Linked DNA regions of Nothobranchius furzeri. The protein of the gene in region 1 purifies or fractionates together with the protein of each later gene. This does not show direct contact. Links are inferred from orthologs where the notes say so. Each region holds a gene or a part of one and is shown on either strand. Other genes may lie near its edges.

Region 1 (4,394 bases):
ATGACTGGGATGCCTCCTCTTCTGATAACATGTCGAACACTTATTAAATGTAGTTTTAGAAGGGAATAACTGAAATATTCATTCCTTTGTAAGGTGTTTTTCCACTCCTGCTCCTTGTCTGCAAGATCCTTGGCTTTTTTAAAATCCTAAATAAAAAAACATCAAGAAAAAATTTAACTTAAACAAAGTTTAAAAGAAGTATTTTGTTAAATTAGAAGGTTGCCATATGACCTTCTGCTGTTTCTTCCTCAGTACCTTCTCCTCATTCAGCTTTCTACCAATTCTGCCTTCCTGAGATCCACTGATTACCTTTCATATTCATTTTCATTTTCTCTTTTTCTTACATTTGTAATCAATTTTTTTCTTTTCCTTGTTTTACATATTTATATATTTTATTTTTCATTTTATATTCTTGTGAAGCACCTAGTGATTTTTATCTTGAGAAGTGCTATATAAAGGATCGTTTTTTCTTCTTCTAAAGGTAAAATAAAATGTGACAAATCAGTCTGAAATGGAAAATCAGTGGAAAGATTGTGACAAATGCTTGGAAAATTAGTGAACTCAACTAATATGAATTTTTTTTAAAACATCAGTTTCATTGAGGCTTTCTAGTCTCAGTTTCAGGTTATTGTTGAATTTATTCTGCTTCTTAAAAAAGTTAAGACACACTGGACATCATTGCAAGATTATGAACTAATTGTATCGTAGGTTATTTCTACAGTGAGTGAAATCTAACAAGTTAAGCTGTTTTTAACTAATAACTAAACTGACATATTTAGATTTTATGTCATGTCATGTAGTTTGTCAGATTTCCTCGATAAAACGTGTACAAGAGCTTGAAAACACAAAAATAAACAACAAATATTAACTTTATATATATTTATATATTATAAATCTACCTTTTACTTGCCCCTATGTGGCAGCAGGACTTCTGGGTAACGTCCGGCTTATCAGACACTAAACTCCGCTGGTGTTTTATCTTTATCAAGCAGACTTGCTAAATAACTTGGACAAATTTCAAATGACGAAACATAAACATCACTTTCAAATTTCAGGAAACCCTGTAGACGTAAATAAAAAATAACAGCTACGCTACTGGATACCCACGAAGAAGAATAATAGTGTGTTACATCAAATTTAGTCCTCGCTGAAACACGAAGCGGAAGTTGTTTCTGTTTCCACAGAGTTGAATATGAATTAGAAACCAGCCATGTAATTAAACACGAAAACGCAGTCAGATTGCTGTAACGTTTAGGTGAAGCTTTGATATGAGCAGTGCAACAACATAATTTATTTGGATTTATTGTAGAAAATTTACATTCACGTTTTTTTATATTTACATGTTTTTAAAAATGTGAAATTGATTTTGTTACAAAAAGAAAAACGAATATATTAAATGTGAAATCTTCCAATGAAGCAAAAAAATATGTATATATCTGTCTGTCCCTTTAAACCGATAGGCTTCTTATGGGTTGCTGGTGGGCATAAGCCTTATACGGATTATCTCTGTGTGTAATAGCTGAACTGCTCGTTATTTCGACCGGTTGTCCCACTGAAATTCTTTATTTACGTGTGATAAACTTTTTTTTATTAATTTTTTTTTGAGCTGACAGAAAAAAGGACCAGTCAGCTGTTTGTGTTGTTATGGAGACTAATTCTGAGTACGGAAATACCATCCAGGCTGGCAGCTTAAATAATTAATGTTATTTCGGTTAAACGTGCTACTGTCCGATATCTTTGGCTGCTGAAAGATAAAAAGCCCAAAGTAAGTAAGTATTTTTAATTGTTACTTTTTTGAAAACTTTATTATTTTAATGGTGGTATTTAATTTTCTGCAACTATAAATATAGATCCATTTAAGTTTGCAAAGGTGAGAGTTGCATAATGCCCACAGAGATAAATGCACAAATGTGTCTGCATGTACTGGTCTGTGTCTCAGCTGTCCCACTCTTATCACATGGCAGGACAGTTACAGCTGCTGGCCAATCTACAGTAGAATTAGACTGTTGCTAGCCAATGTTTGCTATATTTATCAAAGTTGCTGCAGTGAAGAATCCTGTGTCAACTGCACTTTGCGGCTCTATCCTGCTAGTGTCAGATTTCAGCATCCCATGCTTTGCCTACCATCAACAGAGCGAGGTTGTAGTAATGACCCAGTGAGCAACCATTGGTTACAATTCTCTGACAAATCACCCTACAGGACACTGTCCTGAGTTGTTGTTGGAGCAGGTTGCAGTGTGAGGCCTTTTTGAGATGTATTCTGTGTAAGAGGAGTCATTTTATTTCTGTAGATTGATAATCTTTATGCTTTTGCTCTTTCTGATCTATGGATGAATACATTGTCTGTCTCAGAGGTGGTGCAGGGAAGGAGTAAATGGAGAGAAAAGGAAGGTCAGGAAATGACGGTTTGTCTATACGAGCTCCTGAGAGCTGCAGGGATGCAGCATCATTATGCCCGGTAAGCAGATATGTGCCACCCAAGGCCACACTTCCCTTGTGTTTTCCAGATATAAACCTGGCCTCCTGTTGTTTGTCTCTTAGGTTCACCTTGGCTGGTGTTTGCCGCGCAGTCCACCTTTCAGCTCTGAGGATGGAGGATTACCCCCTCCTGGGAATCACCTCAATGGAGGACAGAACACGACTTTTCCATCTGGTCCAAATGGTCAAAACTCTTGACTTAAATAGTCTAGTGAATGATGATATTATGATTTGTAATGATAACATTGGAGGTGATGGAGACTGTGTTGCAGTGGGTGGAAGAATCAGTTTTGGTGAAAATGTGAGCAAGGATCCTGACAAATACGGAGCTACAATAAATACATCTAATGCATCCAGGTATGCTGGACCCCAGTGTGTTTGCAGGCAGCTTGATTTCAATCTTGAATTTCCTCATTCTGTTCATGTTTCTGCAAGCCATAATAGGTTTGTTGAGCCTGTCCAGGTAAAAGGATCAGCCACAGCCATGCAACTTGAGCTTCCCATCAGAAATGCAGCCCCATACGGCCCCCCAAAGAGCAAAAACAATAGGAGGGGCACAGTTAGCTGCTCATGTGATTCCCACCATGAAGAAAACAGAAGAGGATTTTCTTCGGTCAATTCTGATGACAATTTTCTATCAATTAGTAAAATATCCCACAAACCAAATCCCAATTGTGCAACTGATACTGATAGCAAACCTTTTGGACAAAAACTCAGAGAAGGAACCTCCAGGAAGGAAAATGTCTCTCCAGACACGACTAAGCCCATACCTGTTTTTGAAGCAAAAGGAACAGCTGGCTACAACTACGGACTCCCACTGAGTTCTCCACTGGTTCCAAAAAACAAGTGAGTCCACAGCTAGTAAAATGTAACTATGTTTAATAACAATCTGTAATACTTTATCTGACGATAGTAATGTCATTTTGATTTGATGATTGTAATTCTTTACTGCGGTTTGGTGTGTGTGTCAGGTATGTGGGGGGACAGCGGATTAGAGTGTGTGTTAGGAAAAGACCTTTGACACGTGCAGAGTGCAGAAGAGGACAGGTCGATGTTGTCACGACGACTCCAGGTGAAGACTGCGTTATTGTCCGTGAAAGCAAAGAAGCTGTGGATCTCTCTGAGTACATACTACAGGTAAGAAAACAACCACCTATCTAACAATCCTGGAATTCTATGATTTATTTTTTATTTCCTATTCCGCATCTTCTCCTGCTTCTTTGTTTTTGCAGCACAAGTTTTACTTTGACCAGGTTTTTGGGGAAGGGAGCTCTAATGAAGAGGTGTATCAAACGACAGCCTTTCCTCTGGTGCAGCACATGCTTAACGGGTAGGGTTGCACAGCACCTTTTATCTCATGTTATGACTTTGTTTTTCAGTCCTTTTAAAGTTTATTTTGCGTGAATCCACAGAGGGAAAGCCACCTGCTTTGCATATGGACAAACAGGTGCAGGGAAGACTCACACCATGCTGGGATCATCTCCTGGGGAACCTGGGTTGTATGTTCTGGCAGTTCGGGACATTTTTGCTCACCTGTCCACCACACACACGCACTCATCCTTACTGGTTTATGCTAGTTTCTTTGAGATCTACTGCGGTCAGTTGTACGACCTGTTGGACAGCAGGAAAAGGTCTGTTGTCTGGTTAGGGTGTGCTTAGCAAGATCAAGCTTTCCAACTTTATCTTTTAAAATTGTAACTGATGTGATCCTCTTGAATATTTTCCTCCTTTCTTGCCTCTGAAGGTTGTTTGCGAGAGAAGATGGACAGAAAGTGGTTCACATTTCAGGGCTGCGTAATGTCAGAGTGGATTCGGTCAGCTCGGTGCTTAAGGTTCGCTCCTTTAAACAGATATGACTGTTTACATTTACGATCCAATGCAGATTCGGAGTCTAAAATACAGATCTTTATAGAACT
Region 2 (4,382 bases), on another chromosome or scaffold:
GCGAAGGGCAATTTCAAAACTGTATCAAACACCAAAATCAAGGGAAAATAAATGCATATTATCCCTACATTTAAAAGCAAAATGATGGGTCAGTGTAAGAATCTTTGCTTTGATGTGTTTAACACAAAACTGCGCGCATTGTAAGACGACAGAAATGACACAGGATGTTTTGATCTGCTCATAATCATGCTAACGGGCTAGCGGTAGTCATCTGATGCAGCCATCACTCCAATGTCCAGAAAAAACACGGAAATGTTACTTTTTCTGTAAAAACAAAACAAAATTTACACCACCTACCATCAACTATATCACTCTGTAAATCTGATACACCCATCTTGTTGCCCCAAACAACGGCAAGCGTTAGCTAGCAAGGGGAGAGCAAGAAGCGTCGTTAGGTTGTCAGATGCTGTGCGAAAGGCATTGTGGGAAATGCAGTTCACTTATTCACTTTCATTGGTATATTGCATCGACTTTCGTCTTAAAAAGACTACAGTTTTCCAAAAGCGCGCCGACGTCCCGACAGCCAAGTTGTAGTGAAAAACCATAATTAAAAAAAAAGACTGGATAAAAACGTCAAATTAAATATATAGGATTCAGTGTAAAACTATAATCTTTTTTATTTGCATCATACATTTGTTTTTTTCTTTACGTTTTGTTGCTGCGCATGTTTGGCAAGAGAGAAATATTGTATGAACTTATTGTAGTCATATTATTATTTTATTGGTTTGAGATTTTTGTTAGTATTTATCCAAAAGAAAGAAGAAAAGTGCCTAAAACGATATTAAAAGTGTACTTTGAAAGTACTCTAATTCTGTTTCCGCCTCCGTCATCTCTCTTTCCGGTTGTGAGCCGTCTCGTAGCCATCATGAAGTAAGTGTACCGAATAAAAATCTAAAGCCATCTCAACATTTAAATAAAAACGATTAATGCGTTAGCCATATAAAAATGTATTGTTTTTGTTTTCCCTTTTGTGATGTATTATATTTGTCATTTTCAGGGTTGAGTTGTGCAGTTTCAGTGGGTATAAAATATACCCCGGCCATGGCCGCCGATATGCCAGGATAGACGGAAAGGTAACTTCATCTTGTGTCCCACACCGGTTCTGTACTTAGCCGGTCTGTAATAGATATTAACATTTTCTCTAAATGAAGTTCATCGTATCGGAAATGTTATTGCTCCGTTTCTGTTGTATCTTCTGAAAGCCTTTTTACATGCTACAGTTAACGTTAGCAACCAACGTCATCATTAAGCGACTCATACGAATTTCCATGATCAAATGTAATGTTTCTAAATGTACAGCCACAAAATGTTACCAAGTGTAAATGCTATCTATTTTTGTAATGTATGTTGCATTAGAAGTAAGTTGTACGATTTAATGATGTATGACTTACATTTTAATGGACCATATCGCTTGTCAGTACAGCAACATTTACCATCTGATCTAGCCCTGGAAGTATTTTTAACCTGATCGTTTTAGTAATGTAATATGTGTTGAATGTAAGACGTTCTGTATAATCAAATATATTTAAATGTTTTTGGCAGGTCTTCCAGTTTTTGAACGCCAAGTGCGAGTCTGCCTTCCTGTCTAAGAGGAACCCCAGACAGATTAACTGGACTGTGCTGTACAGACGCAAGCACAAGAAGGGCCAGTCTGTAAGTGGCAGCTTTTTACTAGTCTTCAAGGACGAGGCACTTCTGATTTATTTATGTTTTCTTAGGAAGGTCCTTTTGAATGTTGCGGTTTTGAATTGATAACATTCATTGTAAATTTTCTTCTATTCACACCATTATTCATGCATTAAGTTGATCAAGCATATTTGGCTGCGAGTGAACGATGTGCATGGTGATGGTCCATGTTATGTGTTGTTGCTGAACTGTGTTTTGCAGTTTAACAGCAGTGCTCACACCACACCTGCAGCCATAGAACAACTGGGGATCATAGTACTGGCCTTTGACTGTCTTTCTTTTGGCATCTCTGCATTGGCCAGCCTCCAAACTCTCCAACATAATATTTTTCACCCATTTGTATTATTTCAGGTGTATTGCAAGATGGACAGTTTTCACAATTAAAATATGAAATTCCTTGAAGCGGTGCAGTCAGTTTTGCATTTTTGCTGTTTTAATTAACCCAAGTAAGGGTTTGTAGCATGCTCAATGTTCATTTCAAACTTTAAGTCTTTGTCCTTTAAAGTGTTCTTGTCCTAGAAATAAAATAGTTAAGTGTTTCATTAACTCGTTTATTTTGTGTTAGTGGTACCAGTTTTACTGATTTTAGAGTTGTGTGTTGTTGACATGCAAAGCACATTAAAATGTCACATTCAGCATGGTACAAGTAAATGTCATTTGTGTCAACAGGAAGAGGTGACAAAGAAGCGTACCCGCCGTGCAGTAAAATTCACGAGGGCCATCACTGGGGCCTCCCTGGCTGAGATCATGGCCAAGAGGAACCAGAAACCCGAGGTCCGCAAGGCCCAGAGGGAGCAGGCCATCAGGTCAGTGGACAAATTATAACTAAAGCTTGGAACCGACCCGGAGTACACATGACCAGACTGGTTTCAACAAGTGTGATTAAAGACTGGGATCACACACTTAACTGGTATTGATGAGGCTGTGAGGGATCACCGAGTACAGTTTCTCAAACCAACTTCCGACTGAATCCATCAAACTGCCAAGCTGCATCTACAGTAATAGTAGAAGGAAGTAAACATTAAAAACACTGCTGCTGTTTGCTAAGATTAAAAAGAAAAATTAGGGTTGGGTTAAGCCATGGAAGGGTTAACGTTTGAAATTTGGACTATCATTGTTTTGACATTCCTACTATTTATAAAATAATTTGAAGCCATTTCCCCACATCCCATCATTTCTTAAACATTAGCTGTTAACACATATTTGCAGATGAGTTTAACAATTTAATGCAACAAATTTATAAATTTAAACATGTTTGACTGCTGCTGACTTTAGGTCGGGTCTTTTTTGCACTCACATTTCTTATTTTTACCCCATTCACACATTTTGTTCCAACTAATCATGCAGACTAGACTGTTCCCAACTAGTGCAGACAGAAATGGTCAAATCTGACATAATGTTGTGTCTTTAGCTTTGCTCCTATTTTCTCAGTAAAACCATCAAATTTGACTTTACTGAGGTGAATGAAATGTTGGAGCTTTTTCTCACTGAACCTCAGTTTGACCTCAATGTTTTCAGTCCTAAACATGCTCTCACTTTATTCTTATCTGATAGCAACTCAAAGGGAAGCAGTTCTGACTATCAGAACAGTGATGCCATTACATTACTTTAGCTACAGCTTCTCATTCGGAGCAGGTAAAGGAAGAGACAATTTTCTATAACATGTTTTTGCTGGATCATTTAAATAATGACCGAAGCAAACTGTGTTTATGGATACTTTTTAGTAGTTTCAGCTTGTGTTTGAATTTTAAATTTAAAGTGCTACATAGGATGACTTTAAAGGGTGGGTTGTACAGCCATGTTATTAATAATGTAGCCTCCGCTTTTCCGGTTCGCGCCTCACTTTTTTTTTACAGTAGCGGCCCCAAATGATCTAATACATGGATTTTCTGCTTCCTGATCATGTGACGTATGCGAAGATCGGCTTTAGAGCTGTTTGTTCTCATGGTGCGGGGGCTCGTTCCAATGCCCACACAGTAAAAACATGCAAATGACGACTTAAGTCAATGGCAGTAAATGAGTTAACATTCAGCAAGTTAGAAAGGTTGATGAATGTGTGCGTCTGTTTTAGCCTGGTGTGCCAGACTCGTCCTCTTGTCTGTTCTACAGAGGACGAGTCGGGATACTCGGAGGCAGACAGCACCATGAGGGGTGGGACTCGCCAGCTCAAAAATAACCAATCACCAAAAAAAAAGCGAGTGACGATTGTAATTTATTACCTGTAGGCAAAGATGGCATCTAGTGACAGTGCAAACATCTTTTTTTTTAAACAAAGGCTTTTTAGCACTTCATGTTGAGGTTTTAAAGACATGTCCAAGTCATTTCGAACAAAGCCAAAGCAAACTCCGTTTCAGAAGCCATCTTTGTTTTATGAGAAACTGAGTGTGCGTGACGTACGCTGCTCAGCACTGATTGGCTCAGTCGGTGGAGTTATTTCAATAGGAATGCTACCAGGTCCTTTGCTTTCCATGAGAAAGCATTGGCATGGCTGTCCATGCTACATTTGTTATACAACAGTTACACTGAACTTCTGCGCCATTATAATTGCAAGTGTTTTATCATATATATCAGGGGCGTCAAACATGCGGCCCGCGGGCCGGATCCGGCCCGCAAGCGGGTTAAATCCGGCCCACAAAATGGTTGTGTTAACTTTATTTTCATACTTTACAATGTAGAGTGAAAATAAACTTATCATT

Evidence for each region.
Region 2: the proteins of kinesin-like protein KIF24 (region 1) and cep97 purify together in Homo sapiens (co-immunoprecipitation; 4 studies listed by BioGRID and IntAct, with this or other methods). This does not show direct contact. The link is inferred for Nothobranchius furzeri from reciprocal best matches to the Homo sapiens genes KIF24 and CEP97.

The regions. Positions count from the first base shown.
Region 1 is NC_091757.1:46,820,242-46,824,635, forward strand, and holds the start of kinesin-like protein KIF24, read left to right. Parts: upstream 1-1,534; 5' UTR 1,535-1,769; intron 1,770-2,124; exon of another isoform or gene 2,125-2,264; intron 2,265-2,352; 5' UTR 2,353-2,374; coding exon of another isoform or gene 2,375-2,399; coding exon 2,400-2,458; intron 2,459-2,541; coding exon 2,542-3,324; intron 3,325-3,449; coding exon 3,450-3,615; intron 3,616-3,710; coding exon 3,711-3,808; intron 3,809-3,890; coding exon 3,891-4,109; intron 4,110-4,222; coding exon 4,223-4,310; intron 4,311-4,394. Other genes in the region: Rieske domain-containing protein, read right to left, coding at 1-31. UniProt on the Homo sapiens protein: Microtubule-dependent motor protein that acts as a negative regulator of ciliogenesis by mediating recruitment of CCP110 to mother centriole in cycling cells, leading to restrict nucleation of cilia at centrioles.
Region 2 is NC_091754.1:25,616,896-25,621,277, reverse strand, and holds the start of cep97 (centrosomal protein of 97 kDa), read right to left. Parts: upstream 2,889-4,382; 5' UTR 2,680-2,888; coding exon 2,595-2,679; intron 2,493-2,594; coding exon of another isoform or gene 2,356-2,492; intron 2,010-2,355; exon of another isoform or gene 1,827-2,009; intron 1,654-1,826; coding exon of another isoform or gene 1,543-1,653; intron 1,074-1,542; coding exon of another isoform or gene 998-1,073; intron 871-997; coding exon of another isoform or gene 665-870; exon of another isoform or gene 335-664; coding exon of another isoform or gene 298-334; intron 1-297. Other genes in the region: rpl24 (large ribosomal subunit protein eL24), read left to right, coding at 665-870, 998-1,073, 1,543-1,653, 2,356-2,492. UniProt on the Homo sapiens protein: Acts as a key negative regulator of ciliogenesis in collaboration with CCP110 by capping the mother centriole thereby preventing cilia formation. Required for recruitment of CCP110 to the centrosome.